7 linked regions of the Oryza sativa Japonica Group genome follow. The protein of the gene in region 1 binds, or shares a complex with, the protein of each later gene. Links are inferred from orthologs where the notes say so. Each region holds a gene or a part of one and is shown in the gene's direction. Other genes may lie near its edges.

Region 1 (4,091 bases):
ATAGAACACATTATTTTAACACAAATTGTTTGTTCTTTGTAAATTGTGCTGGAAAACAGGCCAACAGTAGCAATATGATAACACTTATTATCCATGCAGGTAATTTATGTAGTCTGTCCATTTCCCGAACCTTCTGCTGTCCTAGAGACACTGGTAGAATGTTCTGTTGCTCTTGGGTCGGTAATGTTATCCCCAGAGAGAGAAAGGAAATCATTCCTATATTCTCAGGTTGCCAAAGCCCTAAACTGCAATGCTTCTGTTGATGAATCATCAGCATCTAATGTTGTGATGCTCTCTGGTTTCAGTATACCTAAGCTTGTCTTGCAGATTGTTACTGTTGAAACTTTATTGAGACTCCATAAGCCAAACAATGAGCTTGCTGTTTTGAAGGACATGGCATTCACTGTGTACAACAAGGCTCGCCGAATTCCAAAGGCCATTAGCACAAGTGACATGTTTCAGTCACCTGCGTACATGGGCAGGTCTCAGTCCACCATGATGCATGCTACATCTCCTGGTCCTACCCTTTGGAAAGAATGTTTAGTTCCTCGAATGTCTGGATCAACTCTCTCTAGAGAAACAGAGTTTGATGCATCCATGAGGTCATCAGTAACATGGGACAACTCATGGCCTGGTCGTGCTGGAGGATTCATGGACCCAAATAAGATCCCAGATGTATGTGTTCAAGATGACAGGAAGTATGCCTTTGAGCCACTTTTCATACTAGCAGAGCCTGGATCTGTCGATTACAGTAGTGGAATGGAATCTTCAAAATCTGGTGTTGATGCTAGTGGCAGTGGAATTTACAGCTCAATTTCAGGTGGTGGCTCTGATAGTGGAGCAAGTGCAAGTGCTTTACTGGAAGGATCTGATAACGACAATGCTGCAAGTCTTCATTGCTGTTATGGCTGGACTGAGGACTGGCGATGGTTAGTATGTATCTGGACAGATTCTAAGGGAGAGTTGTTGGACAGTTTAATATTTCCTTTTGGTGGTATTAGTAGTCGCCAAGACACGAAAGTTCTCCAAAGCCTTTTCATCCAAATTCTGCAGCACGGTTGCCAAATAATGTCATCTGCACCTGAGTCTAGCAATACAAGACCGAGAGATGTAATAATAACCCGTATTGGAGGTTTCCTTGAACTTGAAATCCAGGGTACTTAACACTTCTACCATAAATTCTGTAGTTTTTATTTCTTGACTATATCGTGTCATTATGGTATATATTTTTTTATGCAGAATGGCAAAAAGCAATTTACTCATTTGGTGGTAATGAAGTCAAGAAGTGGCCTGTGCAATTACGCCGATCTATACCTGAGGGTATTCCATCTAATTCTAATGGGCCAGCACTCCAGCAACAAGATATGGGCTTAATGCAAGACAGAAATATGCCATCCTCACCTAGCCCTTTGTACAGCCCTCATGCAAAATCTAGCTTCATGAAAGGTGCACTTGGGCAATCAGGCAACAAAAAGCAGATCCTAGTGGAACAAGCTGGAATGGACAGTTCAAAGGGTTCATTGCATTTGGTTCGCAGCATCAGTTTGGTTGCAATTTCCCAAGATCATTCGCTGCATCTCACATGCCAAGCGGATCTGTTGACCAGACCTACTCCTGGTAAGTAGTGCTTGTAACATCCTTATATATTCATCTACAAGTTTGTGGCTGTTTAATGTAGTGCTTATTTAATGCTGCTTCTTACAACAGTAGTAGTTACTTACGTCATGACCTTATCATCTATGACTTATGATCATAGTGCTACCTCCGTTCTCAAGAGAATGACGTCCTAGAATGCATACCGTGAAACCTTGAACTCTTAAATCATCAATAGATTAAAAATGTTAAGAATTGATATGTGAAAATGATATTAGTAGATTTCTCATGAAAAACTTTCATATGGTTATATTTTTTATAAGTTATATAAATATATATTAGAAAGCAATGATAACATATGTAAATTGGAGACTGTGTCGATGTCCAAAACATGAAACAAAAGAGAAACTGGGGTAGTACCTTTTCTTTTGGTTCATCCTACTAAAAACACATATATGAGCAAAAACAACCTGAATCAAATTAGCAGCTATTTTTTGAGTTTTGTTTCCTATCAATCCCTTTCATGTTCGGTTAAAATGCTCTTTTTTACAGGTGAAGGGAATCAAACAAGCAGTGGTCCTTCTAGTTACTTGGAAGGGTTTACTCCAGTGAAGTCTATTGGGTCAATGTCAGCATCATATCTCCTAGTTCCCTCACCAAGCATGCGATACCTTTCGCCAGCAACATTACAGCTTCCAACATGCCTTACATCAGAGTCTCCACCTCTTGCACACTTACTGCACAGCAAAGGGACAGCGATTCCCCTAGCAATGGGCTATGTAGTCTCCAAAGCCGTCCCACCGGTAAGAAAGGACTCCGCACGCCTTGCCAATGAGGACAGACCCTCCGTCCTCTCGGTTAGCATCATTGATCACTATGGAGGCAGCATTGCTGCTGTTCAAGAGAAGATGAGCCGAGGTTCTGGCAAGCAGACGAGGAACTTTACTCAGGAAGCAGCAGGTCGTGATCATGAGACGGAGATGCACAACGTGTTGGAAGCAGTGGCTGCCGAGCTCCACTCCCTTTCATGGATGACAGTGAGCCCGGTGTACATGGAGAGACGAAGCGCCCTGCCGTCCCACTGTGATATGGTCCTTCGCTTGAGGAGACTTCTGCATTACGCTGATCGGCATCTCTCCCAATCGACAGAGAAAGGAGATGTAGCTTAGAGACTACTAGAGAGGACAACTAATTCTCATGTAGCTTTCACCACAGGAAAAATAAGGGCTTAGATGATGCTGAAACCGTTGTCTGTATGTATATTAGGCAGGTAGATGAGGGTCACATTGACGAGCTCTCTAGCCCGATTTTGCCTTGTTAGTGGATTGAAGAGAATGCTAATTTCTTGGGCTGAGGATGTAATTACGTGCGCATCGACACCTCTCCCAGGGCCAGGACCAAGTTGTAATATTGTAGAGCTAACTGGTTTATAATTTGGTGGTATTTGTTATTGATGGGTTGGCTTAACCATTGGTTCCAAGAAAATCAATTGGTACAGATCGATGACGCTGTATTTAAACCCTCCATATCTAATTGTAAGTTGTCTTATGCTTCTCAACCTTTTTCTAAAATGTAAGTTATTAGAGCACTTATTTTTCTCAAATGAATGCTATTTGTGATTGTGAACCATCTTTTGCAGTATAGTATAAATGAAAGATAACAAAATTGTTTGCAATATTACTTTATTAGTCCTCATGCATAAATTTAAAGTGGCTATTTAGATTTTAGAATCAGAGGGAGTAAGCAAGAAGCTTACGCTTACGCTAGAGCTGGGATAGGGCTTAGTTTGGACCAACCTTTTTTCCCCCCGATTTAATGGAAGCAGCATACACACGGACACGATGCCACGTATACATACAAATGCAAAGAAAAACAGGACACCTCTGGCTGAACCTACTATAATTTCTTCGAACAAAGGAAGAAATCGCCTCCAAGCCGCTGCTGAAAGAACAGAAGAACCGACAGCAGTATTGCTCCACATGGTATGGCAATGTCCCATGCGAGGCTGAAGAGATCATCGCGAGGGTTTTCATACCTGGAAGATGGTCTCAAGCTGGGTACAAAATGTAAAATCATGTATGGCTCTTCCAATGTAAAATCCCGGGGAAAGTACCTTCACTTTGGAATTGGAGCCTGCGCCGTTTAAAATAACCTGAGGGAGCAATTAAGAACCCGTCGAGTATTAATCCCCCATGTGACACCATGATCCCGGCTAATGCACCAAGAAGGGAGCGTCCAAAAGCGGCACGGGGGCACCCAGGCAAGCTGCCTATGATACCTGTACAGCAAACTCTTCTATATATGATCTGTTCGTTCGACAGATGAACCGTTTGGACGGCTGCGATGATCAGGACGGCGTATACGTGACGATGTGACCTAACCTATAGCGAGCTATGTATGTATTTCGGCGCGAGCTTTGATGTAGCAGCGGCCGGCATACATTACCAAAAACATTTTCCCAGGCAGCCAAAATGACTCTATGCAGGCGATCAAACACG
Region 2 (4,941 bases), on another chromosome or scaffold:
CCTTCTTAATCATAAATAATGCTTTGATAAGTACATTGCATGTGACAACATCAATTGTAACACCGCTGCTCTCAAGCCTACCTTTTATTGCCATTACACCAGTTGCATCTTCTACCTTAATGTGACCATGTAACAGCGTGCTATATGTGAAGTTATCAGCAGCAATACCTTCATATATTTCAACAGCCTTCTTGGTGTGACCAACCTTACATAGACCATTTATTACTGAATTGTATGTTACGATTCCAATCTTTATCCCCTTTTTATCCATCTCTTCAAGCAAAGAGAAAGCCCTATCCAAATATCCCTTTTTGCACAAATTGTCAATCAAAATTGAGTAAACATATTCATCCACCACCACTCCTGTCTGTTCCAGTTTCCTCACTATAGAAAAAGCATCATCCAACCTGTTTCTCTTGCAGAAACCACCAATCAATGATGTATAAGTGATCAAATTCGGCTTAGCATCCCTTCGGTTCATCTCATCCAAGAATCCCATCACTTTTTCCACACTACGTTCTCTGCAAAGTCCATCAATAACAGTAGTATAACTAACTACATCAGCTGCAATGCCCTTATCTAACATCACCCGATGCTCACGGAGCCCTTTCATCAATAACCCGCTACTCATGTATCCATGAACCAAGCTGCCATATAAAACAGCATCACCAACCAACCCCTTCCCTTCCATCTCCCTTACCAATTGTGCTGCCTCAGTAGTTCTCCCTACACGGCCAAGCACATCGACAAAAGCGGTTAATGTGATCAAGCCTGGCTCAAATCCATTGAACTCTCTCCTCACCCTCCTATAGAATTCCAGCCCATCCCCAGCCTTCCCGACCTTGGAGAAGCCTGAAATGATCACGCTGCAAACACGATCATCCACCTGACACCCCGCTGCAGCCATTACGTCGAACACCTTGAGCGCGGTCTCCATGTCACCGCGGGCACACAGCATCGTCAGGGCCACACGATACGTGGACGGAGAAAACACGAGCCCGCACTCCTCTACGCCGGCGGAGAGCACCTCCAGCGCGCGGCGAGCATCGCCGCGCACCGCGCAGGCCCGGCGGAGCAGCGCGTCCCAGAGGCGGCGCGCGGAGGAGGTTGCCGGGCCGGCGAGCGCGAGGCGCGCTGCCGCGTCGCGCGGACGGGAAGAATCTAGAAGCGCCGAGGCGACCAGGAGGTGGGTGCGCGCGGTGGGGCGCACGGAGTTGGCGACCGCCTGCGAGGCGAGCGCGCCGACGAGGCGGTGCCTCCGCCGGCGGAGGAGCGCCGCCAGTAGGATGTCCACGCGGCGCGGCGTGACGGCCCTTCCGAGCTTGACCAGCGACGGGAGCGGCGGTGGTGGTCGGGGCTCGCCGCCGGCGAGCGGCATGGCGGAGGGTGGTGGTGGTGGCGCCGCCGCCGCGTGGGAAGCGAAGCGCAAACGTTCGAAACGTTGGAAGCCGATGGCGTGGGCCGAATTTGGATACGAGCTTGTTTGGATCTGGGCCTGAATAGATATGGGCTTGTATTGGTTCTGGGCCTGTTTGGATATGGGCTTATTTAGGTGAGGCGTTTCGAGTCGGAAGCGAGAAGGGGAGAAGAGGAAGATGCAGCAAGCGCAGGCGTCGGCGGTGGTGGCCGCGCCGGTGGCGGCGGCGGCGGCGGCGGCGGCGGGGGCGACGGGGCACCAGCACGAGGGGGCGAGGGGTGACGCGCCGCCGAAGCAGGTGGCGCAGGCGATGGAGCGGCTGGGGCGGGCGGGGCGGCTCATCGCGGACATCCGGCTGGGCGCGGACCGTCTGCTCGAGGCGCTCTTCGTCGCCGGCGACGCGCCCCCGCACAGCGCCCCGCAGCACGTTGAGAAGACCGCGCTCGCCGTCGCCCAGGAGGAGGCCGCCATGCACCGCCACTTCGACGACCTCCGCGCGCTCGGGAGGTAAACCCATCTCCGCCCCGTGCCCCCACACTCTCCGATTCAGAAGTTTTTCATCGATTCCTTAACCTTTGACTGTTACGTCGCAAAATACAACTAATTCCCTCCGAGAAGAACCATTCCCGTCATGATTCCACGGTTGCAGTCTCAAAATGAAAAAGGAACATTCCCGTCATGATACCACGGTTGCAGTCTCAAAATGAAAAAGAAATATTCCCGTCATGATACCACGGTTGCAGTCTCAAGAAGAAAAAGGAAAACCCTTGTCTAGATAATTTCTGGAAATTGGTGGCTGGGATATTGATTTAACTTCTTTGGATTGTATGATTGGACTTTTTTTAAAGTAATAATCTCCTTCCCAGTTTAGGCATGGCAGCACATTTTTTTTCCACTAAATTGTTCTGTAATAATGGTTAATCACCATAAACTGATGCCACACTCTTCTTTGGTGTTATCCAATTGCTTGTATCTTGTGAAACCCTTCTACCTATGAAACCTTGCTACGAGAGATGCACGGACAGGCTTAACTGCTCAACTTTGGTATATGAACTTTAGCATTCTAGAATATTGGCTGGGTGCCTGGGTCTATCAGATTGGGATGCATTTCTGGAACTCGTGTTCCTTGGCTTGTAATAGAGCAATATTTAACCTTAATTGAACAGCTTCAGCTTGAACTTGTTTTGGGGCTGTTTGGATCAGGGACTAAAATTTTAGTCCCGGTCACATCAGATGTTTAACACTAATTAGAAGTATTAAACGTAGATTAATGAAAAAATCCATTTCATAACCTTGAATTAATTCGCGAGACAAATCTATTGAGCCTAATTAATCCATGATTAGCCTATGTGATGCTACAGTACACATGTGCTAATTATGGATTAATTAGGTTTAAAAAAATTGTCTCGCGAATTAGCTCTCATTTATGCAATTAATTTTATTATTAGTCTACGTTAAATACTTCTAATTAGTATCCAAACATGCGATGTGACAGGGACTAAAATTTAGTCCCTGGATCCAAACACCACCTTAGTGCCACTCAGGGCTCGAACTAGTTTTAGTATCACTCGTGGATGGTAAGGATGTAGGGTAGGTGCTCACTCTATAATATTGTCTCAGCAGAGCAGTTATGTGTTGGGTACAATTGTTTACATGTGACCACTTGACCAGTCGTTTGTTGAAGAAGTCTGCAGGCATTTGGAAAATCCATGTTTCATGGCAACATGGTACTATTCTGTCTGATGAATAAAATGTCCAAGCAATATGAACTGCTTGTTAAACGATGGTTTTTGAGTCTTTCTGCAACCTGAAGTTGCTAGATAAACGGAAGATGAAATTTGCAGGTGATATAGTTATGATTTTAGACAGAATAGTTAGTTTGTGAAAATCCTGAAGTTAGGAGTACTAGATAAGCTTAAGCCATGTGACTGAGATTTTTTTAAGTCAAAGGATATTAGGAGCCATCTTCAATAAAGTTAGGTATGTGAACAGGATGGATTCACTCGATTTTGCTGGTGCTTTCTTATTGTTCTTTCACAGTATTCTTGTTATAGTGTTTGGGTTAGTTGTGCTTGTTGCTATTCATGATGTTTTTACTTTGTGATGAACCATCAATCATTGCTTACACAGTTCTCCTGGTAAGTTCCAATTATTTTTATTGAACTTCAAGTTTCAAGTTCCACTATTTCTTCATAAGTGTTGGCCTAGCCAACTGAAAGTAAAGATCTAGTTTTTAAACTGTAGCCTAATAAATATCTTGTATCCATTGCTGTTAGGAAGGCAATTGGAAGAGTCTGGAGTTCTAAATGGAGCCCTTAAAGCCAGAGGCAATTCATGGGGCTTGCACATGCCACTTGTTTGTCCAGATGGTGCAGTTGTGGCATATGCTTGGAAGCGTCAGCTGGCTGGTCAGGCTGGTGCATCAGCTGTTGACAGAACTAGGTAATTTCATTACCATCATTGTTGTGTTGTATGTTTGCTGCCACAATATGATGTGCTTATTTGTCTTATTTATATTCTGTTGATGTGTGAGATTTCATCAACCGTGCATTGCAGAATGCAGATTAAATATTTATACCATGTTATTTCTTCCTGCGATATACGATAATTTTCTTGGCCGATAAATTTGTACTGTTGTTTCCCTCTTTCCCCTTTAAATTTGTACTGTTGTTTCCCTCTTTCCCCTTTTTCCCTTATTTCTCCTTTTTCCCTCTTTTGTTTCTTCTTTTGCACTTTGCTTTCTCTAATCCTTCTACTATGATAATTACATTCTTCCAAGGTGTGGAGTGCTTTTGTAGGAATTGAAGTATTAGATCAGTTCTTGTTTTCGTTGCATCCATATTTTATTTTGATTTTACACAGAATGCATCGGAAATATTCCAACGCCCTTCATTCATGTGCTTCTTTAGATGTATGTACTTATGTTGAAGGCTTCAAGCCTTCGGATCATCCCCTAGTCCCCATGACAAGATACCCGAAGTTTATTACTATTTACAAAAATGGGTTACTATACTAAACTTAACAGCTATCAGCCACATGCGATTGTACCTAGTGGCCTGGCCTCACCTTTTTTAAATTTAAAATTTAAAATGTATGCCGCTGCTTAATGCACAAATTATTTGGCTTGTGAACAGGCAAGGACATATGGAATTTTTATTATCCATTTATCATGTGTTTATAATGTTCAGAGGTATATCAATTTCAGGTTTATGCTAACATATAGATGTTTCCAGGTTAGCTCTCAAGGCCTTCACTGACCAGAAAAGAAGGTTCTTTCCTCATCTAGATGATGAAGGGTTTAACCATCTGCATGATGGTGAACCTGGTCTCGCTAAAAAGCCAAGGCTGCCTGCTAGCAATGGGGAGCTTGAAGAAAGAACTTTATCTGAGATACTAAAGAATCTAGAAAATGAAGTTCCTAACATGAAAATATTCACATACCGGCGTCTGGATTGGTCAAAAAGAGCTGCATCATTAGCAACCCTTATGAATGATGACTTTGTGGATCCATCTAAGGAGCTGAA
Region 3 (4,766 bases), on another chromosome or scaffold:
TTGAGGACGATATTCGCTGGCGTGGCTTGTTGACCTGATCTAACCGACTGAATTAGCATGTGGGGCCTAGATGTCAGCGTCCCCTCCTCCCTCTTTTACTTTTATCTTCTTTCTTCCCTATCCTTTCCCTACATGGTGATGAGCTCTAGTTGGGAAGGCGGTCGGTAGAACAAGGGAAGACGATAGGGATGCCACTGAGCATCTGACGAAGGTGACTCTTCCCAATTCCCATTCCACCCCCTTCCTGGGATCAGGAGAGGACACCGACCACCGCTCTTCGGTACGGTGGAGCAAACGAAGTGTCGTCTAAGAGGTGGCTAGAGACGGGCGGGAGACGTTGGACTCCAGCAATCGAGGACACACATGTCGACATTTCCTATCTCTGGAGAAGCTTCATCAAGATCGAGCTCGCTTGCCTCATTGGATTTGCCTCGTTGCCCTCACCAAGAACGGTAGCGGAACAAGGTTGCCACGCCCACCAAGGATAGGGGGCATGTGCTCGCCATTGCCTACAGCTTGAGTCTGTCATTAAGGTCAACGACATGGACGACGTGCTCCAGCGAGCCATCGAGGATGACCTCCCCCTCGGTGGCAATGATGACTACAAGAGCTCGTCGACATCTACCCCTTGTCCTCCGACGGGTGGTGGCTATCCCTTGGCCATGCAGAGATATGCACGTGACCCTCCTCTCTCTCTCCCTCACTATTGCCATGTATGGCTCCACAACATATAAAGGAGAAGGACTCTTAGATCTCGATGACAGCGAGGTCAATCACCATCCTTGTCCATTGCTAGGCCTTATTAACCGAGGCGTTGATAGAGGTGAAGGTGGGAAAAGGACGTCGGATTAGAGGAGGCGACAGAGAGAAGGGGAAGTGGCTTGAGGCTCGGATCTGTGAAGGAGAAACACTGATGGGACCCGGCTTTGTCCAGATCAGTGAGGGGCCTCGGTGTGGCAACCGTTGGAGCCCACAATGAAGAGGACATCTACGGCAGCACTGGGCCTCTCCGACTCTCCATCACCGCTGTGGCCCTTCCCTCCTTTGCTCCACAAGGTTGCCAACAGAACCAAGCTTAGTTGGTTGTGTCGGTGGTGGCTTTGTCGTCTAAGTCACTGACACTATTCATGCTTGAGCTCGTCACCGCGTGGAGAAAGGAGAGGGAAGAAAAGAAAAAACAAAAGCATGAGGAGAAAGAGAAGGGGACGACATGTGGGTCCCACATGCTGACTTAATCGGTTAGACCAGTTCAATGAGCCACGTTAACGAAAACCACCCTCAAAATAACTAAAAAGAGTTTTTTTATTCACCGGTGTTAATAGCCGAGGGTTCGATATACACGGTTTGCGATTAAGGGAGAACGAATCAGATTGGACCTATAGTCGAGGGAGACAAATTGGACTTATTCCGCTCAAATACTAGGGCCCTGATAAGGCCAGGCCTGGGCTTCGAGCTTCGGCCCAAAATCAACATATCCTTTGGGCTTTTGGACTATGTTGGGCTCTGAAGCTAAGCTTAGTTCACTTCACAGCCAGCGCCGACGAGAGGAGGAGCAGATCGGCTAGGGTTCCGGCGATGGCCTCCTCGGCGGCGGCGCGGCGGCGGCAGGAGATGGCGGCGGAGGGGCAGCGCCACCTGGAGGAGACCATCGCCGCCGCGTTCCAGATCCTCTCCTCCATGAACGACGAGCTCTGCAACCCCACGCTCTGGTCCTCCTCCTCCGCCGCCGCCGCCGCGGCGGGCGGCGCCGGCGGACTCCAGCACCACGGCAACAACCACCACCACCACCACCAGCACCACCACCACCACGGCGGTCTCCCTCCGCCGCCGCCGCCGCTGCACTCCGCGGACTCCGACGCCGCCGACGCCGCCGGGGGAGGGCCCGGGGGCGCGCCGGGCTCCGGCGGGTCGCTCGACGAGGCCAGGCACCGGTACAAGGTCGCCATGGCGGCGCTCCGCACGTCCATCGCCGCCGTGTCGTCCTGTGCTCAGGTCAGCACACGAATTTACCCGACATTGCATGCTCCCGTAGTATGTATGCAACCACGAAATGCGTGTTTCTAGTGATCGTCTAGTGGAAATTGTGAAACGTATTGCACTCTTTGTTGATATCAAGTTAGGTGCTTATACATAGGTAAGGGAGCCAAATAATTTTTGCAAAAGAAAATTTCTTATTATTGATACCAATGTAAGGGAATGTAAGGGATGTTGTGATGTAGGTTCGGACTACATGGATGTGGACTATATATATGTTTCAATCAACATGAGCTTTTAGTGTTCAATGTTCATGAGACAAAAATAGTAGTTTTATATGATTCTATTTTTAGCAGTAAGTGTAATCCTGATGTGCAAAATATGGTGCTATGGAGAAACCTCATAACAGTTTACTTCTTTGTAATGATGTTGTGGTTTTCTTCGTAGGAGATGGGATCGACAGAACACAAAGCTGATCAAGCTGAGATTGAGAGATTGGAAGAACATGCATCTGCTTTGAGAAAGGTACTATCTTGGGAATGTTCTAGCAATATAATCAATATCATTTTGCTGTATTCAGAATTTTTCCCTGAACCAGTTGGTAACTGGTGCTTATTTAGCCATGTCAATCCCAAATATTTCCCAAACAACCTGTTTTGAACATAATGTGTGTGTGTGTGTGTGTGTGTATATATATATATATATATATATATATATATATATATATATATATATATATATATATATATATATATATATATATATATATATATATATATATATATATATATATATATATATATATATATATATATATATATATATATATATATGTTCCTTTTATGCTTCAATCATTTTAATTCAAAAAGTCCTGAGAAGAGTGTAATCCCCAATTTTTACCTGAAACCATTTTAGATAGCCAGGATCTAGTTTGGCAAGCTGTGATACTGTGTTGCTTGTAGTGTTTTGGATAGTCATGTTCATTCTGTTGAACTCGTCAAAAAAGCGTTCCATCTTGATCTTTCCTGGCAATATTCATGCTTGTTAAGTTGTTATCTTATCATTGTTTTTTCTGCACTGGATACTGCATGTCATTATTGTTTGCATACTTGGATTTGCCTGCTAGTTTAGAACTTACTCCCTCCGTCCCAAAATAAATAAACATAGTATGGAATGTGACACACCCTAATACTAGGAATCTGGATAGGGGTCTGTTACTAGGTTTGTTATTTTGGGACAGAGGGAGTAAGTTTTTGCAAATCCACCTTTGATGCTAATTGGATTCTGGACTATTTAGCAAATCCTTTTCATCCTTTGGAGGGCTGTTGGCTGTAATGGCCTTGTAAGTCTCAACTACTCCTTATCTATGCTAGATCATTATAGCATAAATACAGATTATTCTCCTTGATGTGTATAAATGTGTATAGAAAAATGGATTTGTGGCTTATTCAGTTCCATTTGTATGATTTATTGAGATCAGTGATTTTCATGTACTCCTATGTTTGAAGTGTAGCAAACCATAGTTATTAAGACCGGACCGGTGATCGAACTGTTAGGGTACTCGGTTCACTGGTTTATTGGTCGGACCAGTCAAACCGCCGGTTTAAAGCGGTTCAAATAGATGTGTGTTAGAATACTAGAACAACATGTGACATAGCCGGCTGAGACTCTCCGTGGAAGCAAGGAGGTCTTGGTTCGATCTTCAGTTCAGCAGGTTTTTTCCTATTTTCTCTAACTCCACGTGACACCCTCCAGCAGTCGAACCACCTTCGGTTTTTGTCTGGTTCTGCAGAAAACCGCCCGGTTCAATGGGTTTTTGCCGGTCTGTTTGCTCAACGATCTTTTAGCTGGACTGGACCAGCCAACGCCCTGGTTCCCTTTTTTTCTGATCGGACCACTGGTCTGGTCTAGTTCTAATAACTATGTAGCAAACAGTGTTCTCTAATGCCTCGATTACATAGTTTGTTCCTAAAAAGTTCAAAGCATTTCATTTTAAACATACACTGGTCAGTACAATCTCAATTAGCTGATCCCATGTGTCCTAGTTCAGATTTCTATATATGCCCGTGGTATCATGGTCTGTGGAAGTTTTGAGTCCTCACGCTTTTGACATATATAATACATTTTTTGTTTCAACCTAGTAATGTGGCATACTGTTCTCTGGTACCGTAAACCAGTCTAATACAGGATGTTTACTGCAGGAAATTGAAAGCAAAAACAAGCATGTAAAGCTCCTTATCGACCAACTCCATGATTTAATATCGGACATATCAATGTGGCAGAGTCCTTGCTCAGTGTGAAAACTCATCGGCATTTATCCTTTAGGAATCCAAAAATCATAGCTAGAAGTATGTTAATGCAAAATTGTATCAGCTGACCTTGAGAGAGAAATCTGAAGGGATACAATCAGTTTGCAAATACAATATTGTAATGATTTTTCTTTCAAGTATTCAGAAAGTGTACTATGAGTAGTGATAAACACGAAGTAGCTAGTAACTGAAACAAACATCTGGTGTATATTTTCCCACCAATTTGGCCTTGCTTTCATTTCCAAGACTTCTGTATACTCTTTGAGCAACCATGACCTCTGTACACTTTTTCCTTTGTCGAGCATGATGATATTTGTGTCCTCACAAGCAATGGAAATAGTAATACATATGATTAATCTTAATTTCTTTGGCGAGGTAAAGCTTTGCTTAATAGTAACTTGGCCAAACACCTTCAATTGATCTGCCATATGTGCGCAAGTTTCGAGTAACAGGACCAATACGCCAAGACAAGAAGCTGACCGG
Region 4 (4,789 bases), on another chromosome or scaffold:
CGACGTGGTGGGTCCTCCCGTCCGGCGCGCGGACGAACACCATCGCGGCGGCGGCGGCGGAGTAGATTGGTTTGGGTTTTTGAGGTCGTGAGGAAGAATACGGAATCGTGGAATTGGTTTAACTATTTTGTGACGGTTTGGGACCTTTGGGTGAATTGAGTCGGTGGCGAGGAGAGGCGGTGGGCTACGTGGGCCGTTCCATGGTGGGCTGATCACCTGCATATGGGCCGTACAAGGGCTCATGGGCCTGTTTGGCTCGTGTTTGGGCCCATCGCCTGACCTTCCCTTCTTTTGGGTTGGGTTTCTTTGGATTTATTTTTAAGATGGGCTTGTTGTTTTATCGACTTATTTGTTGCGAATAAAATCTTACCGTGCCGTATCATCAATTTCATAGGTCATGACTCTGCTGCATCTATTGGAAAAAAAACATATTTATATTGTATAAACAAAGAAAACATGCGTAGTTAGGATGGGCTATCGACGATCACGACAACAATGATAATAACCTAAATAGAGAGCTAGAGATTCTTATAAAGATTCTTATAAGACGCTTGTGATTAGTCGGCTGATGATAATCTGAAAGGGTTAAGTTTCAAGTTTCTAGCTCCAAGTTCATAATCTCAATTTTTATGTACATATATGTGCTAGCACACTACAATTTCTATATGTACATAAAAATCGAGACAATGATGTAATGAAAGTTGTGGCCTAGAGAGATATCATTTAAAGTAAAATGATGGAATAATACAATTTAATTAAAGATTCGATACATAAACAATTGATGAAATTTGTAACCGAGGGAGATAAATTTTAACTGAAATTGTCAAACTATAAATCTGACGAAAGATTCATTCAAATTCCCAAAAAGGCATACATTCACTCATTTTATCTGCCTTGGTGCCAAATTTAACGAAATTTATGTACCCAGTTTCAAATAAATAGACGACTATCCCCATTTTCTTACAAGTTACAATCCACCGCAAGACCACAACACCAAGATTACCCGCCTCCATGCCAATTTCAATGAAATTCGTGTATCCAATTTTAAATAGACAGACAACACTCTTTATTTCGTTACAAGTTAGTACATCTAGGTACTATACAAGAGTAATATTGGAGTGTGTAAAAAACTGCCGTAGATTTTTTAAGTGTAAAACTTCGAGATTAAATTATATTATAATTGAAGTATAGTTGTACTGTAACTGTATTGTAACTACGGTATAACTTATATAAAACATGTATTTAACCGTGGTTTGGCTGACTAGCACCGAGATCTTGCACATAACATGTATGATATTTTTGTAGCAATGTTATCTCTTGAATGTACAAATCTCCAGTAACCCGATGACCATAAATCTGAAAGTTTTGAGAGAAAAAGGGTGTGTTTAGTTCACGCTAAAATTAGAAGTTTGGTTGAAATTGAAACGATGTGACAGAAAAGTTAGAAGTTTGTATGTGTAGGAAAGTTTTGATGCGATGGAAAGTTAAAAATTTTTTTAAAAAAGTTTGGAACTAAACTCCACGGAACTTGCAAAAGTTTTCTAGCAATTTCGATCCAAAATTCAACGGAATTCGTACATACCCAGAGCTCACCACTCCCGAAACGCCACCAAAAGACCAAACCCACTCGTTTCCCCTCCCCCCCTCCCTCTGACTCTCTCCCCGTCGTCGTCATCGTCATCGTCGTTCGTCGTCGTCGTCTCCCCTTTCCACGGCCGCATCCCATTCCCCACCCAACCTGAAAGCGACGCCGCCGCAGCGCACACGCAGGAGGCAGCAGCAAAGCGAGGAGGGGAGGAAACCCTCCCCCCGCGACAGCAACGGGCGGTCGCTTCCAGTGACCTAAGCCTCCCCCTCCCCCCCTCGCGCGCGCTTCCCTCCCCTTCGCCTTTTTGTCTCCTCCGCCCCTTATGACCTCTTCCTCCGCCCCAAACCCTAGCCCCCTCGTCCCCACCCCCACCCCCTCTCCCCCCACCGCCAACGCCGCCGCCGCCGCCGCCGGAGCCGTGCCCGTCTCCTCGCCGACGCCGCCGCCCAAGGATCAGCAGCAGGAGGGCCAGGGGGGTGGAGGAGGAGTGGGGGATGGGGGTGGAGTGGAGGAGGTGGGCGTAGGGGGAGGCGAGGCCATGGAGGTGGATGGTGGCGCGGGAGGTGGTGGTGGGGGGGTTGGGGATGTGGAGGGGGGTGGGGGTGGTGGTGGTGCGGGGGGAGGAGGAGGTGGAGGTGGAGGTGGGCAGCAGGCGTCGCCGGCGACCGTGTTCCGGATCCGGCTCAAGCAGCCGCCCTCGAGCCTCCGCCACAAGATGCGCGTGCCCGAGCTCTGCAGGAACTTCAGGTGCGTTTCGAGATTAGTTGTGGTTTTTTTGGGGGTGTTTTTTCTTTCTGGGATTTAAATATGTTGGGGGAAGCTTAGGTGTGATGAATTTAAACCCTGATCTGTTTCAGCTTATTCATCGATTTATTGAAATGGTTTTTTTCCCCCCGAAAGAAATTTTCCTCTACTGTATTGCTTAGACCACTTGTTTTAAGCTATTTGTTAAGTTTGTCTCTCAAAATATCTAATTTATCCCTATAATATATCCATGACAATAATCCACTCAATAATCTAAATCAAACGATCTGGGTTTACTTTTTTTTTCCTCTTCAAATTTGGGTGGCGTTTCAATGATTGGGATGAACAATCTAGTGACTCAAACTTGCAGAAGCATTAGCGTGGGCATGGAATTGTGATTGCTTTGAATGATTGTATCCTGTGCAGGCTTCTACTATACTAGATCAAATACAGTTATAACATGTAGTGTCATTATTTCACATAACTAAGTTTAGTCAGGTCAAACTGGTTACTTTGTTCACCAGTTAGAAAATACCGAACGTGATAACTCCATTTTTAAAATCCACATTATTTTTTTTTGTTTAAAACTGCTTTGATCTTGTAGGATGAGGTTGCCTTGTCTGCTTTAGCCTACACTATATCGGGAACAACTAGTAACTATCTTATCTATGGTTTTTTTTTTATTGCAGTGCAGTTGCTTGGTGCGGGAAGCTCAATGCAATTGCATGCGCATCAGAGACTTGTGCACGCATACCAAGGTATACATTTTTCCATCCTTTCCCTGAAAATTTACTTTCCTCTGACCTTTAGTTATCCATAAATAAGTTTGTTCTGTTAGCTTGTCTTAGTGGGATATTCAACCATTTGGTAGAATTGTTTGCTTACAGTTTCTGGTTATGAAGGTTTCTTTGCCGTAAAACGATCTAATGTATATTTTCAGCTCTAATTCAAGCCCACCATTTTGGATTCCCATACACATTCTAAATCCAGAGAGACCAACAGAATGTTCTGTTTTCAATGTGAAAGCAGGTAATCCATGGCTAAATCTCAATTGTTTTGGTAATGTGATTACGTTATGCATGTGCAAATCACTGTCCATTGGGCATTTTATAGTCAGGTGAAGGGTGAGATTCAAACTCACTTTTGTTTATATACGAGTTTTTCTACCTCCAATCCTAACTCACTGTAATTTTGAACAGATTCTCCACGCGACTTTGTTCAATTCATTGAATGGTCTCCTCGATCATGCCCTCGTGCATTACTGGTGGCAAATTTTCATGGAAGGATTACTATATGGACACAGCCAACTAAGGTACATCTCTACCTTAAGCAAATTTCGGTATGCATATCATTTTTTTTTGTTAGTAGTACCATTGAACTTACTTTGTTAATTTGCGAAACACTCAGGATTTTCTTTTTTCATTTCAAGTCTATATACATATCATGCTGTTTTGTGTTTTTTCTCTAATACTTGTTTCTTTCTTGATATGGTGAAGGGTCCTACTAATCTTGTACGTGATGCCAGTTCCTGGCAATGTGAACACGAATGGCGTCAAGATCTTTCGGTGGTGACTAAGTGGTTGTCAGGAATTTCTCCGGTTTGTTGCCAATTTGCAAACTTACAGTCTGCTTCTCTTGTTTTTGATAATTAGCACTTTACACTTGGAATGCAAATATGCAATACGATTGACCCAGCAGTTTATACAGTCCGCTTCACAATTTAACATTCGAGATTTATATACTTTTCAGTGTCAATTGTTAATCATTATTTTTTTAAAATATAATATTTTATAAAGCAGTGACAATAGACTTGAGTTTAAACTGTTCTAAGATTTTTTCACTGGACATTTATCATAAACAATTGCAACAATTAGGTAAAAAAGATTCTGGCTCAGTTTATGTCTGAGTAAGTACTTTGATCTATTTCAAATGACACTACCTGTGTTTGATTACCCTTTTGGCCTGAAATAAGTGGATCTTAGAATCGAAGGAATATAATTACTAAGCTGTTGCCACGGCTAAATTTGTTTTGTTTCTTTGACTTTGCAGTATAGATGGCTTCCTGCAAACTCTAGTACTTCATCAAACTTGAAAACCTTTGAGGAAAAGTTCCTTACCCAGCAGCCTCAAAGTTCGGGTTGGTTAAACACATATATTACTGAGCATATATTTTTTTTGGAGGAGAAAGCAAGCATGCTTCTTTACGCTACTCTGACATATTGCTGTTTACTGCAGCTGGGTGGCCAAACATTCTATGTGTCTGTTCAGTTTTTTCATCGGGTTCTGTTCAGCTTCATTGGTCACAATGGCCTTCTCAAAACTCAGCACAACCTAGATGGTTTTCTACTAGCAAAGGGCTTTTAGGAGCAGGGCCAAGCGGCATAATGGCTGCTGATGCTATTATTACTGAAACTGGAGCATTACATGTTGCTGGTGTTCCCCTTGTTAATCCATCTA
Region 5 (3,182 bases), on another chromosome or scaffold:
CATATCAAGTAAAAAAATAACCATTTTCACTCTTGCTTGGTGTTACTTTTTTTTTCCTTATGTTCTATAATTAGTTATTTACTCATAGAAGTCTTTGTGGGGAGAGTGAATAAAAATATTTTTTACATGAACTTTTCAGAAAACAAAATAAAATATCATTATCTTGCACCTTTTTTCTTGAGCACTGGTCCAGATAGTTGTCCACATTTTGCATCCGGCTTTCTTCAGCAAAAAAGGAATCAACTAAGACAATAGAACTTTGCTAAGGATTATGCAACCGAAAACACAATAGAAACAAGAAGTAATGGTTAGAGGAAATAAACCAGAATATGGCAGAAAGCCAGAAGCTAAAGATTATGGTACAAACATCATAAGATAGCTATATGACTATATCACCTCCTTTATTGACATCGAGAAAAATAACTTTAGATAAAGCCACTGCACATAACTAACCAAAGTTCGATGTAGTAATTATGTGGATGATGATGATCTCCGTGCTACTGGATGCATGATCGATAACCCAAGACAGTATGGACTTGCCATCGGTGGGTTGCTCAGGGAGAGCAACATAAACCTTGTCTCTAAACAGAGTTTTCTGCCTGAGCATCATACTCATGCATGCAACTGGTAAGGCCTTGAAGATGGAACTAAGAGATACTTCTATCTACCAGTTTGCGTTTCCCACTTTGGACAACTAAAAGAGGGAACACACTGCGTATTAGCATTAAAGAATAAGATTCCAGTTTAACCAGGTAAAAAGGTTGACTCTTGACTGAGACTATCGGAAGACAACGCAACACTCAACTACCAAGTCGCAGTGAATGGATTATCTGAGGAAAGTCATTTGGTACGCTGTCATGCCATGCCAGTACAACACGGCAAAATTTGCTGGGAACAGGGACATGTTATGAATTAATGTAAGACTCTACCTTTCTCACATCCTTCACCCCCATTGCTCACCACAAATTCCCTGCCTTTCATTTCTAATAAAAAAAAGATGTAGTGCATCGATTGTGTGCCAGTGATAGAGCCATCAGTCTATCTGGTGATCTAATCTAAAGATCTCGGCCTCATATTTCAGTTACTCCATATGAACGGGAGAAACAACCTACGGGTAGTGACGATTCAGCAATAATAGCATATGAAATTTGAGGCGAACAAAATTGACAACAAGCAAACATCTCATCATCACCAGTACTGCATATGAAATTAAATCATCGTGGTACAGTCAAATCACCTTTGACGATTGACTAGAAATGGCGAACACCGAATAAATACATCGCGGCGGCGGCGGAATCGCGCAGGGAGACGGCAACATCGGCGCGCGGCGAGGCGGGAGTTGGGGGAAGCCGTCGCCGGCTCACAGGATCCCACCGGGGTCGCCCGCCTCGCCGTCGGCGAGGGGGAAGCCACCGCCGCTCCGGCGAGCGGCGAGGCCCATATTTATCCCTCGAGAAAAACCCTCGCCTCGCGTCCCAGCCCAAGTTTTAACGTGCGGCCCAGTAAGAAGATACAGCACGAGACGGCCCATTTTAAAGTGGGCCGCGAATCTGCGGCCCACGAGGAATTTTTTTTTTTTTGACGCTACTGGTTTGGGAGTTTGACACTGTGACGAGTAGAGGTCAAGTTGGTGGGGAATCTAGGCGGCGGAGGCGGTGGAGCGTGTCGGGGAGAAGCCGCCGGCGGCGAGGGGAGATGGAGGCGACGGTGGACGAGCTGAGCGAGGCGTACCAGGAGTTCGTGGCGGCGGCGGCGGCGGTGGTGGAGGCGCGGGGGCAGTCGGGGGGAGAGAAGAACGCGGCCACGGACGCGGCGCTCGAGGCGTTCAAGCAGCGGTGGGAGCTCTTCCGCGTCGCCTGCGACCACGCGGAGGAGCTCGTCGAGTCGATCCGCCAGCGAATCGGTTCCGAGTGCCTCGTCGACGAGGCCACCGGCGCCTCCTCCTCCTCCTCCGCGGCGCTGGCCGCCCCCGGCATCAAGCCCATCAGCGCCGTCCGCCTCGAGCAGATGAGCAAGGCCGTCCGCTGGCTCGTCATCGAGCTCCAGCACGGCGCCGGAGGTGCCTCCGCCGCGGGTCCCGGCGGCGGGGGCGGCGCCGCGGCTGCGGCTTCCGGCGTTGCGGGGCAGCACGGCCACGGCGGGGTCGACACGCGCTTCCCCGAGGACGGCGCCCAGTAGGTATTTATTTTGCTCAATTATCTTGTACTAGTAGTATTTTCTTCCAAAGAAAACAAATTACTGGTGGTATCTCTGTGTAATCGTCTAAGAATTGAAGCATTAGAGCTTGTGATCGATATTCTAAAAAAAATTGAGCTTGTGATTTTCTCAGCATTGTTACTTTATGCCTACTGATGTTAAAATTTGGGAGAAATTAACCGTTTTCTTAGTGTCGTGGCCAGATCACGCTTAGTAACTGATTTAATTTTGTCCTATTGCTTTTGTTAAGTGACTAATTGTGTAACGGACTTCCTTCCAGTAGGTTTTAGTTCTGATTTGTAGCTCGCTCACATAATGTTCGTGCATCGTACTAAGGTAAGGTAGTAAACCTGAGGTCCCAGGAAAAAATGAACAATTTCATATATACTACTCAACTAGCATATAACTGTATAAGTTCCTTCAACTTTCAAGTACCTACTCTGGATGTTTTGCTAATCTTGCGTCCGCCACAATGTGAATGCTTTTCCTTCTGATTTTTTAATGAACAACATTTTATTGAAGAATAACTAAGCAGCCACAAAAGGCACAATTTGTGATAATAAACTCTGGGAGATTGCTCATGGTTTGTGAAACCCAGTTATACTGGAAAGTGATATTGGTTATTAGCTACTAGTTTCCTCATATAATTCTCTATCGTACATTTTTGCGCCTTTAGAATTAGCTGCCAATTTTGGCCAAACAATTCAATGTTTGTAGCATATGCTCTTCTTTTATTGTCGATATCATAGTAGTAATTCACTGCTCTATACCAAAATTGCTCTGAGCACTCATACTCTATCACAAGCATTAGCAGCAAAGTTTCCTCAAATGGAATATGAAGAGATGTAAGGAGATAACAAGAAATTTTGGAAATGATCAACTGAAGCTGCTGCATTAATTCACCTCAATCTGTGAGAAAATGGTGTTTCCTTATGCATGATTTTGTAAGGCGCAACGATCCAAACACGAGCAGCTCTACACACCTG
Region 6 (4,217 bases), on another chromosome or scaffold:
TTTATGATGGCTTACCAATGTTATCGCAACATTCTTCCTTTACTCAGCGTTAGGACCAGCTATGCTGAAGCAAAGGCAGAGTTTGGTATCTTATTAACAGAGATATTTTGATTTCCTAGATGAAGGGAAATACCTCTTTTCATCTCTCACTGCACCTGAATTTGGGTCCAGTTTTGTCTAAATTAGTTGATCTACAATTTTGTTTCTCATAGTAAGCCCTGTAAACTATTAGTTGAGCCTGGACATTATGTAGAACCATGATACTTAACAATACATGTTCTACCCAACCTTTTGGATTACTTTATTTTCCAAGAATTATAGCTTGTTGTCTTGGTATTGTTATTTCCAGTATTCTCTAGAATCTGTCCTTTAATGCCCTTCTGCACAACATATGATTCATGTGAGAAAATTCTAAGGTGGTTTGCACATCCACTTATCAGCTATTGTCTCATAAAAAATGTCTTGATCTGGATATCAGCTACAGATAGCCTTACCTTAGTAAATAGAGTGTATAACTGTAATCACCATTTCATTAGGTTAATTTTTGTAAGGAAGATTTTCATTAGATCAACCCTATTAGGAAACTGGATGTCTGGGCCAGTACCCAGAATAAGCAGAGTGAAACTAGTATGATCAGAAGTTTAAATTCTATGAATGTACCTATATTAGTATGTTAATTTTCCTATGGTACTGAGTCTTCAAAAATCAAAATTTCAGTCTTCATCCCTACTATTATAAAGAGGGAATCGTCCTCCTCCACCTCCACATAAAAGCCTCTTTCCTCCATAAAAACTGTCCACCCTAAAAAAAACTGTTTACTAATAAAGCCAACCATTGTATAAACACCGAACAGCTCACTGGGCCCAAATCCTCCCACTAAACTTAATAAAAAAAACCATTGCAATGCATGACAGCATGAGCCTATAACTAGTTGAAAAATACTTGGGTCTTTGAATTTGATATCATTTTATTTCTTGAGTTCTCTATGAATTAAAGTATTTATTGCCTTTATGATTTTATTTCCTGTGTGCAACTAGATACTCCAAGGCAGTTCTAGTAACAGTCAGAATCATCAAAGCCATGAAGTACAAAAACATTGCATACTTGTTGCAGCAAGTAATCCTTATCCACTGCCTACGCCTGTCTACCGCCCCCTTGTTCAAAGTAGCGATCACAAGGAGAACAATGATGGAGCAAAAGAATCTTGTCTTGCTGATGCTGAGACTGTTGCAAAATCATTTGCTCAGGTCCTACACAAATACTGATATCTAGCATATTGCTGATTACCTGTGTTTCAATGAAGTGGTCAGCAGTCATTGTTGGTTCTAATTAATTTTACTTATATTGATGTAGTGCTCCGTTTCATTGTCGGTGGTATCTCCTAAACAGCTTCCAACTCTGAAAGCAATATACAATGCGGTAATTTCGTTATTTTGTTTTGCTAAATTCTGTAAGCCACAAGCCATCTTTAATAATCTTCTCCTGGTATTTTACTTGTTCATTGATGGTATGATAGTTGCATCTTGATTTACAGAGGGTTGAAAAACTCACTTAAGAATATATCTTTTAAAATAAATTATAAGCATGAACTTGCAGAACTGGCCGCTCCACTATTACATATGTTCTTGTACTTGTACACAGTACTAAACTTCATATTTTCATTACCATTGAAATAAAAAGAGTAAATTTTATCAAACACCACCTATTATGGTCCAAGTTGCACAAAACCACAGGGATTTTGGCACATGACACATAACCCCATGTATTATGGCCCTAAGGTTTAACAAGACCACACCGTTAACCAATTTTACATACTCCTATATCAAAGTTTTAAAAGTTTTAGTTACATTCATGTAACATTTATATGATGGATAAAAAACTCATAAATTTGTGATGTGATTTTATAAATGATCAATAGTGTGGTTGTGTGAAACTTTATAGCTATAATACCTGGTGGTTAAGTGTCACGTGCCAAAACCCATGTGGTTTTGTGCAACTTAGACCACAACACCTAAAGGTTAAGTGAAATTTACTCAAATAAAAATGAACTCAGTTTGGATTGTACTGTCATTGTATCTTATTTGTGGATAAGAAAAATATCCATTTATTTCATTTTTTTAATTAGTTAGTATCCTGCCTGAACTTGCTAGCTAGTCTTTGTATGGTTTACAGACTATAAATCTATGAATTGGCATCCTTATCTATCATTAGTTTAATACAAGCATTTTTTAACTTACATGATATAAATTTTATCTTCTGCAAGACCTTCGACAGTTTGTACTGATGAATAATTTGCACCAGGTGCTGATGTTGTCCATGTTTTGTTGCAGGCAAAGAGGAATCCTCGAGCGGCTGACCCATCAGTGGATCATGCAAAAAATCCACATTTTCTTGTTTTGTTGTCTGACAATTTTTTGGAGGCTCGAACTGCTCTAAGTCGCCCTTTACCTGGCAACTTGGTCACAAATCACCCCATTACAAAAATGGATACAGCTGCAACATCTGTGCCAGTACCAACTTCAAATGGCAACCCCTCAGGTTGAACAAATGCTAACATTTGGCTTAGTCTTGCCATGGTATTTAGCCTTTAGTTCTGTTCCTCTTTTGGACGAAAGGTTGTGACGTTGTTACGATGTTTGTGAATATGTAGGTGCTTACACATAGTCTAGCGTGAGTCTGCTTTAACAAATGCTTGACACAGCTTTGTTAAGGAAAAAAATGTTAGGCTAAAGTGAAATAAACCATTGCCATAATTACTCCATGGGCTGAAGCAACATAGGTTAACAATTATCGTTGCATATATTGGTACGCCTGACTATTTTAATAGCAGGAAGGATTCTGGCAATGCCCTTATGCCATCCATTTTTGGCCCGAAAAAAGCATATCATTGAGTTTTCAAAGCCTTAGAGGAATAAAATGTATTGTGAGCTCTCCTCTATTATGAACACGATGTGCTTGTGCATCTGACATTACATGGGACTACAATATAATTTCCTATAGTTTATCTCCAATTTGTCAAGTACAGATGCCTTGAGCTGGAGATGAAGAAAAATGGATGTACTGAATACACAAACGTGAAAACCTGCCTCCTAAAAGCTTGTACCATTGTGTTCTATTTGTCCCCTTCCCATCTGGGTGGTTTTTCAATTGTAGTGCCAAGAAAACATAGATTATTCTATAATGATTGTGTCTTCATGGTTATCATTGGCATGGGGTCACAACTAATTGTTTGGACTCTGAGTGATAATGCTTTCAATGGCATGGTGTCTTCGGATTGATGAATTCTATATGGATAACAAGTTTTGTTTTTCAGCATCTTAATCAAAATTAACACTGAGGATACAAATATATCGCAATTCCTGTTTTTATACACAGCAATGTGGTTTTAAAGGTATTCGTGGATATACATAATTTGTTGTTTTTGTGAGTGTTGATGAAGCCCCTTCATTGTTTGTTTCATAAATAAAATTTTACAGTTTAATGTTATGAAATGCCAAATTCTTATTGTTTGTATTGTACATTGCTATGTACTAATATATGCCAGATTGCCCATCTACCTAATTAAAGTGGAACATATTTCAAGTCTAGCCAATTGCTGGTTTTATTTGCATGATCCAGTTGTGATAAATCTGGAATTGCCTTATATAGAAATTTGTTTTTGGCTTCTGGTTATATCCGTATCATTACTATCTTCCATACTGAACATGACTAACTGTTATAAGTATTTTTCAGTTAATGGACCTATGCTTACCCGCCAACCAAATGGTGTTGTTGCAAATATTAAAACGGTAAAGCTTTGAACAACATACTCTGTGACTTACCATTTTGCTGTATGTTTTCTCATTGTGAAAACAATCATCACTTTCAGGAGCCAACAACTTTACCGCCCATGGTTTCTGCACCTGCTTTCTCGCATGTAACACCTGTTGCAAATGGTGTTTCACAAGGATTATCATCAGTACAAAGTCCCTCACCGTCCCTTATTTCACAGGAAACTAATCTTGCAAATGATAGTGTGCAAGAACATAAGCCTTTAATAAACCCTATCCAACAGTCAATTCGACCTGGTGGTCCAGCAAATGTCAGCATCCTCAACAATCTATCACAGCATCGGTCAGTGGCAACCATTATATCAGGTGGAATGCCTGGCATCCCTATGTCTGGAACAGGACAGTCAATTGGTAGTCAACAAGTCGTACAAAACACTGCTTTTGGAT
Region 7 (4,853 bases), on another chromosome or scaffold:
TTTGGGAAAAGTGCTGAAGCTGAGGCGGCTTACAACAGCGCAGAAACTCTTGGTATGTTTGGTCCCCCGTTTGCTACACCAAGGCTTCATTATCTTCCTCCAATCAAGTTGAGCGTGCCTTCGCCAGCTTCAAAGCCTCCCCTTACGGATATTAGGAAAAACCTGGAGAGGATGATCTCATCCCTGGCTGGCCATTCATCTGTCAAGAAGGCAACTCCATCAGATGGATCAAAGCAAATGCCAGAAAACCTTCTTGGGGAAATGCAGGGGCTTTTGGCAAAAGTTGACAAGATGCTCACCGGGCCTTCTGCTACTGCTAGTAATCCTCATTAGCCCCCTACCGCATGGATTATTCTAATCCATCCGTAGTTAGATGTCTTATTGTCTATGCTGTTTGTCGCTGTCATCAATTATAGCTGCCAATCTCGAGCTAATGATAAATTAGATGTTTTGACGATTTCGGCAGCAACGATTGAAACTATTGTGAATGGTAGTCCGTAGCCGTTATTATGTCACTGCTCTCATGCTGCGTGTGTGATATATTAAGACTGCAACTTCTTTCTTCTAGCCCTCTCGCAGCAGCATGAAAAATCATGTTTTCCCCCCAATAGTGAGTATGATGCGTTTATAATAAGGGGTAATAATATACAAAGCTGTTGGGGTTGACATCACATGGCACTGGGCCACTGGTAGTAGTAGAATTTACCATGCAAAAAACTGGCATAGGCATGATGATTGCATATGTTGATCTGGGAGGAGTGGATGTGATACAATGACAGTGATATCCAATAAAATGTAAGCTGTGTATCGCTAATGATTTTTCTAAAGAGATGCTGGTATTGATTAGTAGCAATACAATAACACAGCAGCTCAGTAGTTGTGAACAACAGGCCTGTGAAGTGTGAAATTGATGCTTATTTTAGTCTTTCTGAGTATGTCATAAATCAATGAAGCAAGGGAATGGAGAAGAAATGGAGTATATATGGTTATAGCGCTGCATCTGTTGATACTATTATCAAGGCAAATCTATATGCTACCTTTGAAAAAGAGAAAACAAACAAATCGCCAAATTTGTTGTATTTGGCGCATTTCTCTCAAACTTATGGTGTTACGGTGTTACCTGCAAGAATTATGATACGAATTGTTTGCGGTGCTTTTCTTTTTCATGAATAGGGGTCGGAGTTTTATTCTCCGAACCCCCTTGGTCGTCCAGGTTTTGCCAACTCGATCCGGTGGACAGTGGTTTGTCCTCATTGTTTCTTCAGGTTGTGATTGATTGCTGTGAGTTTTGAGCGGATGGTGGCATTGATTGTAAGCTAGTATGACAATCTCATCTGCAACTTGTTTCTGTGATTGGCAATGCTCTGGCACATCGATCCGCGCAAGTAGAAATTCAGTCACTCACTGTATAGTTGGTTTGCAGAGAGATTATCTGAATTTACTTGCTTGCTCAACTTCAAAAGGCCTGGAATTCAGAAGCTGGACTGAAGAATCGACATACTACTACTTATTTTGTGAAATATCCGTCGTCCCTGATACGTTGCAGATTGATCACAACTTGCGGTTGAGTTTGGAATATCATTGCCACCGGCACCAAAGAGAGTTTTGTTCCCTGAAACTTGTGATCCATGGACGAACAACAGAAGAACAGGCCTTGTTGTCTTGTAGGCATTGATAAGAAAAAGCTCTCTGATATAAGCCTTCGTTTTACCATTGCTAGGAGATAATTCCTGCTCCCGAGGGGCCTTGAGAAATGGAAAATAAAAAAAGAAACTCCGGCCCATTCGGAGTAGTGGAAGTCTGGAACTGGTCCAGGCCAGCCCAGCAACATTTACTTGTTAGGCCGGCCCAAAGTCAAAAAAGGCCCATCATACTCTCTTCCAGAGAAGAAACTCCAAAGTCCAGCACCCAAACTCGATCGAGAATTCGCTCCTCCTCACTCCGCCGCCCGACGACCTCGCCGGCGGCCGCCCCCACCCCGCCGGCCGCCGCTTCTGCTTCCCGCGGGGGGATCCCTTCCGCTCTTGAGCGGGACTCGTGAGCCCCAAGGCAGTGCCTCCTTCACTCAAAAAATTGTCTCCGATCTAATTAAGCCCTCCGCCGCCGCTGCCTCGCCTTCGCCATGGAGGAAGCCGTGCGGGTGGACCTCGACAAGCTCCCCATCAAGCGCCTCCACGCCATCGACGAGGCCGGCAACGAGCACTACCCGCCGTAAGCACCAAACCAAACCAACCTCTTCCCTTCCCCTGAAACCCTAACCCCCACCTCTCTCCGTTCACTGAGATTCGGATTCCGCAGCGACACCAGCAGCGAGGAGCAGCGCCTCTCCGCCATCCGCCGCATCGACTTCTCCTGGGTCATCGACAAGGACGCCAAGAAGCCCAAGAAGGACACCGCCCAGCAGCAGCAGCAGCAGGCATGGCCGTGGCAGGGCATGATGGAGAGCCTGCAGCAGGCGCAGCAGGAGCTCTCCGTCGTCATTGACCTCATCTCCACTGTCAGTTTTCCCACACACAATACTGCAAACCCCATTCTATTTGCATGCGATTGTTTGTATTCCTGACAGAGGAGACAATCCTACTTGATAATGCAGGTCGAAGCCAATGATGCAGTGGCAGTCGCTGGGATGCTCAAGCCCAAATCGCTGCCAACCGAAACCTTAGTTGACACCGCAGTCTCTGCAGCCACCAAGCTTCAGCGCGTTCGGGTATGTCACCCTACTGCCTATGTTTGATTACTTCAATTCACGGCTAAGGAACAAAATGGAACCTAAAACAAACTCAATTTGTTTCTGTAATCGCTTGCCACTTTCCTCTTCCGTCTTGCATCTATCATGCTTCCTGTTGTGATCTTCATTTGTGTCCTCGCAGCATTTGTCACGCTACTTCAAACAATCTGCCAAAACAATGGAGCAGCAGTTCCAAAAAGAGTCTAGGTTCTATGGCTCATTAATCAGGCATGTCTTGTTGCTTAACTTGAGTTGTTATTTCAATACCACTTCACCCAAGTTTGCACCATGAATTACTCGCGGATTGGTGGCAGATTGCAGCAGAACTGGAAAGTGAAGCGGCAACGGTTTGGTGGAAGTGGTCCAGGAAGTGAGGGCTTCATGTTTGATCTGATCGACACTTCTCAATTGGACACAGCAGCAATGCCTCGACTGTCATCATTACCATTGATTCCAATTGACCAAGACTCATCAGGCACTTTGTCCGTACAAGTCCCTCAAAAATCTTGCCGTTTCTTGAGTCTTAATTTTCGAGGGGACAGTGCCAATGGTGTGGAAAACTACGGTCATAAACTGAAAGATGGCATCTCAAGCATCACTTCCTCTGAAACAGACAATGATGATGTCAATAAATCCATCAAACATGCACATTCTATTCTTCGCAACATCCACAAGTCAATATTTGAGGAGCAGGTCAGCTAAGTGTTTGCTTGGCATGCTAAGAATTCCTGTATAGAATGCTCTTAATTAAGTTTTAACTATAGCATCATGGAAAATTATTGTATATCATGTGATGACATCTTGCACCACCACCACCCCTCCCTCCCCGGGTTTATCATTATTTATTTATGTATATCGTTCTGTGGCTTAGCTTAGTGTATGCCTTTGTAGGTATTTGATATGGTGATCCGTGAGACATTTGTCCAATCTCAAGGCATCAATGTGACTGGAATGCGTGAAGATTTTCTCCAATTAGCTATTGGTCAGGAATGTTCATTGTGCCTCTCGCTTGCTCATTCTGGAGATGGTAGTGACTCAGAAATGGTAGACCATGAAGACCATGCCAATTCAGAGGATGCCTCAAATCTTGTGTTGGTCACTATGAATGGGAAGCTGGACCCTTTAAGAAAAGACGTGACAGGGTTTCCTAATCCCAGAAGTCTGGAAATTTACTTGCTACAATTGTTTCATGAGAACATTCTTAGGAAGGTCAGGGAGAAATCCCTTAACATTGGTCGCTACCAAAGTCCTGCTCAGGTTGCAGGTGATGATTATGGCCTGCTAGGTCATTTCTGCTTGACAGTGGCTCACAGGATATTTTCTAACAAAGTACTCGTGGAGCTTGAGAGTGTGGTATAGCTCCTATAAGCTTGTTGATGCTACATATTTGCATGTAGATCATTATTTAAATTTCCTTTCTGTATTGCAGGTCAGCAGGGTTCCATATCTCCATTTGCGTTCTCTTCCTACTTGGCATTCTCGAACTTCCTCCTGGTCTCTATGCTTGAAAGTTCCTCAGCCTATCCTTGCTGCAGATCGGATTGCAAAGCCTTCTGATAACCATGAACTTAAGTACAAATCCAGGTCACAGTTCAATACTAAGGTGATCGTGAAAGATAGCCAAATTAGTCTAATGGGTGAAGGCTCCCCAAGCATTGCTGGATCATTGACTGGGAAGCCCTCCGATGGATATTTGGTAAATAGCTACAATTGTGACTTGGAGGACCTCCCAACAATGCTTCTGCAGCAGGTAAACTTCTGATGATACTATTTAAATTATTTCTTGGTAGATCATGTTTATGAAATTATTAAAGTTATTACCATTGGAATTCATTATGGTCCATTGATAATGCAATGAGCCAGACTATTTCTTGCATTGCAAATGTGTAACATAAACTCCTTGCATTTGAATGTGAAATGCACAATGGTAATGCATTTTTCTTAGTTTTTTTCCCTGAGGAAATCTTCATTTGTGCCTATTGACCTACAGGATTAGTTTGCTTAACAGTTCAAAATGAATGTGGCATGCATGTTGAGTTGAACAGGACACCAGTACAAACATTCTAGTGCCTTGCCATGCTTCCACATTTTTTTAGGTTAATATTGTCCCACATAAGAGGTCTGG

Evidence for each region.
Region 2: mediator of RNA polymerase II transcription subunit 13 (region 1) and mediator of RNA polymerase II transcription subunit 27 share a complex: the UniProt entries of both Arabidopsis thaliana proteins name them as parts of the mediator complex. The link is inferred for Oryza sativa Japonica Group from reciprocal best matches to the Arabidopsis thaliana genes GCT and AT3G09180.
Region 3: mediator of RNA polymerase II transcription subunit 13 (region 1) and mediator of RNA polymerase II transcription subunit 30 share a complex: the UniProt entries of both Arabidopsis thaliana proteins name them as parts of the mediator complex. The link is inferred for Oryza sativa Japonica Group from reciprocal best matches to the Arabidopsis thaliana genes GCT and AT5G63480.
Region 4: mediator of RNA polymerase II transcription subunit 13 (region 1) and mediator of RNA polymerase II transcription subunit 16 share a complex: the UniProt entries of both Arabidopsis thaliana proteins name them as parts of the mediator complex. The link is inferred for Oryza sativa Japonica Group from reciprocal best matches to the Arabidopsis thaliana genes GCT and SFR6.
Region 5: mediator of RNA polymerase II transcription subunit 13 (region 1) and mediator of RNA polymerase II transcription subunit 32 share a complex: the UniProt entries of both Arabidopsis thaliana proteins name them as parts of the mediator complex. The link is inferred for Oryza sativa Japonica Group from reciprocal best matches to the Arabidopsis thaliana genes GCT and MED32.
Region 6: mediator of RNA polymerase II transcription subunit 13 (region 1) and mediator of RNA polymerase II transcription subunit 25 share a complex: the UniProt entries of both Arabidopsis thaliana proteins name them as parts of the mediator complex. The link is inferred for Oryza sativa Japonica Group from reciprocal best matches to the Arabidopsis thaliana genes GCT and PFT1.
Region 7: mediator of RNA polymerase II transcription subunit 13 (region 1) and mediator of RNA polymerase II transcription subunit 17 share a complex: the UniProt entries of both Arabidopsis thaliana proteins name them as parts of the mediator complex. The link is inferred for Oryza sativa Japonica Group from reciprocal best matches to the Arabidopsis thaliana genes GCT and AT5G20170.

What each region holds. Positions count from the first base shown.
Region 1 is NC_089039.1:22,053,714-22,057,804, reverse strand, and holds the end of mediator of RNA polymerase II transcription subunit 13, read left to right. Parts: intron 1-99; coding exon 100-1,156; intron 1,157-1,239; coding exon 1,240-1,617; intron 1,618-2,145; coding exon 2,146-2,762; 3' UTR 2,763-3,151; downstream 3,152-4,091. UniProt on the Arabidopsis thaliana protein: Component of the Mediator complex, a coactivator involved in the regulated transcription of nearly all RNA polymerase II-dependent genes.
Region 2 is NC_089035.1:8,936,382-8,941,322, forward strand, and holds the start of mediator of RNA polymerase II transcription subunit 27, read left to right. Parts: upstream 1-1,570; 5' UTR 1,571-1,595; coding exon 1,596-1,924; intron 1,925-3,697; coding exon 3,698-3,859; intron 3,860-4,650; coding exon 4,651-4,941. Other genes in the region: pentatricopeptide repeat-containing protein At5g57250, mitochondrial, read right to left, coding at 1-1,378. UniProt on the Arabidopsis thaliana protein: Component of the Mediator complex, a coactivator involved in the regulated transcription of nearly all RNA polymerase II-dependent genes.
Region 3 is NC_089038.1:19,468,853-19,473,618, reverse strand, and holds mediator of RNA polymerase II transcription subunit 30, read left to right. Parts: upstream 1-1,505; 5' UTR 1,506-1,575; coding exon 1,576-1,992; intron 1,993-2,421; coding exon 2,422-2,499; intron 2,500-4,175; coding exon 4,176-4,274; 3' UTR 4,275-4,645; downstream 4,646-4,766. UniProt on the Arabidopsis thaliana protein: Component of the Mediator complex, a coactivator involved in the regulated transcription of nearly all RNA polymerase II-dependent genes.
Region 4 is NC_089044.1:19,706,834-19,711,622, forward strand, and holds the start of mediator of RNA polymerase II transcription subunit 16, read left to right. Parts: upstream 1-1,652; 5' UTR 1,653-1,910; coding exon 1,911-2,335; intron 2,336-3,021; coding exon 3,022-3,090; intron 3,091-3,272; coding exon 3,273-3,361; intron 3,362-3,531; coding exon 3,532-3,644; intron 3,645-3,828; coding exon 3,829-3,930; intron 3,931-4,381; coding exon 4,382-4,469; intron 4,470-4,567; coding exon 4,568-4,789. Other genes in the region: protein STABILIZED1, read right to left, coding at 1-43. UniProt on the Arabidopsis thaliana protein: Component of the Mediator complex, a coactivator involved in the regulated transcription of nearly all RNA polymerase II-dependent genes.
Region 5 is NC_089044.1:22,150,659-22,153,840, forward strand, and holds mediator of RNA polymerase II transcription subunit 32, read left to right. Parts: upstream 1-1,605; 5' UTR 1,606-1,695; coding exon 1,696-2,178; 3' UTR 2,179-2,331; downstream 2,332-3,182. Other genes in the region: U-box domain-containing protein 70-like, read right to left, coding at 170-243, 454-616. UniProt on the Arabidopsis thaliana protein: Component of the Mediator complex, a coactivator involved in the regulated transcription of nearly all RNA polymerase II-dependent genes.
Region 6 is NC_089043.1:12,248,389-12,252,605, forward strand, and holds part of mediator of RNA polymerase II transcription subunit 25, read left to right. Parts: intron 1-1,037; coding exon 1,038-1,247; intron 1,248-1,353; coding exon 1,354-1,419; intron 1,420-2,330; coding exon 2,331-2,538; intron 2,539-3,732; coding exon 3,733-3,788; intron 3,789-3,868; coding exon 3,869-4,217. UniProt on the Arabidopsis thaliana protein: Component of the Mediator complex, a coactivator involved in the regulated transcription of nearly all RNA polymerase II-dependent genes.
Region 7 is NC_089046.1:28,095,310-28,100,162, forward strand, and holds the start of mediator of RNA polymerase II transcription subunit 17, read left to right. Parts: upstream 1-1,916; 5' UTR 1,917-2,122; coding exon 2,123-2,211; intron 2,212-2,298; coding exon 2,299-2,497; intron 2,498-2,593; coding exon 2,594-2,707; intron 2,708-2,870; coding exon 2,871-2,956; intron 2,957-3,042; coding exon 3,043-3,421; intron 3,422-3,619; coding exon 3,620-4,081; intron 4,082-4,157; coding exon 4,158-4,478; intron 4,479-4,853. Other genes in the region: PWWP domain-containing protein 1, read left to right, coding at 1-333. UniProt on the Arabidopsis thaliana protein: Component of the Mediator complex, a coactivator involved in the regulated transcription of nearly all RNA polymerase II-dependent genes.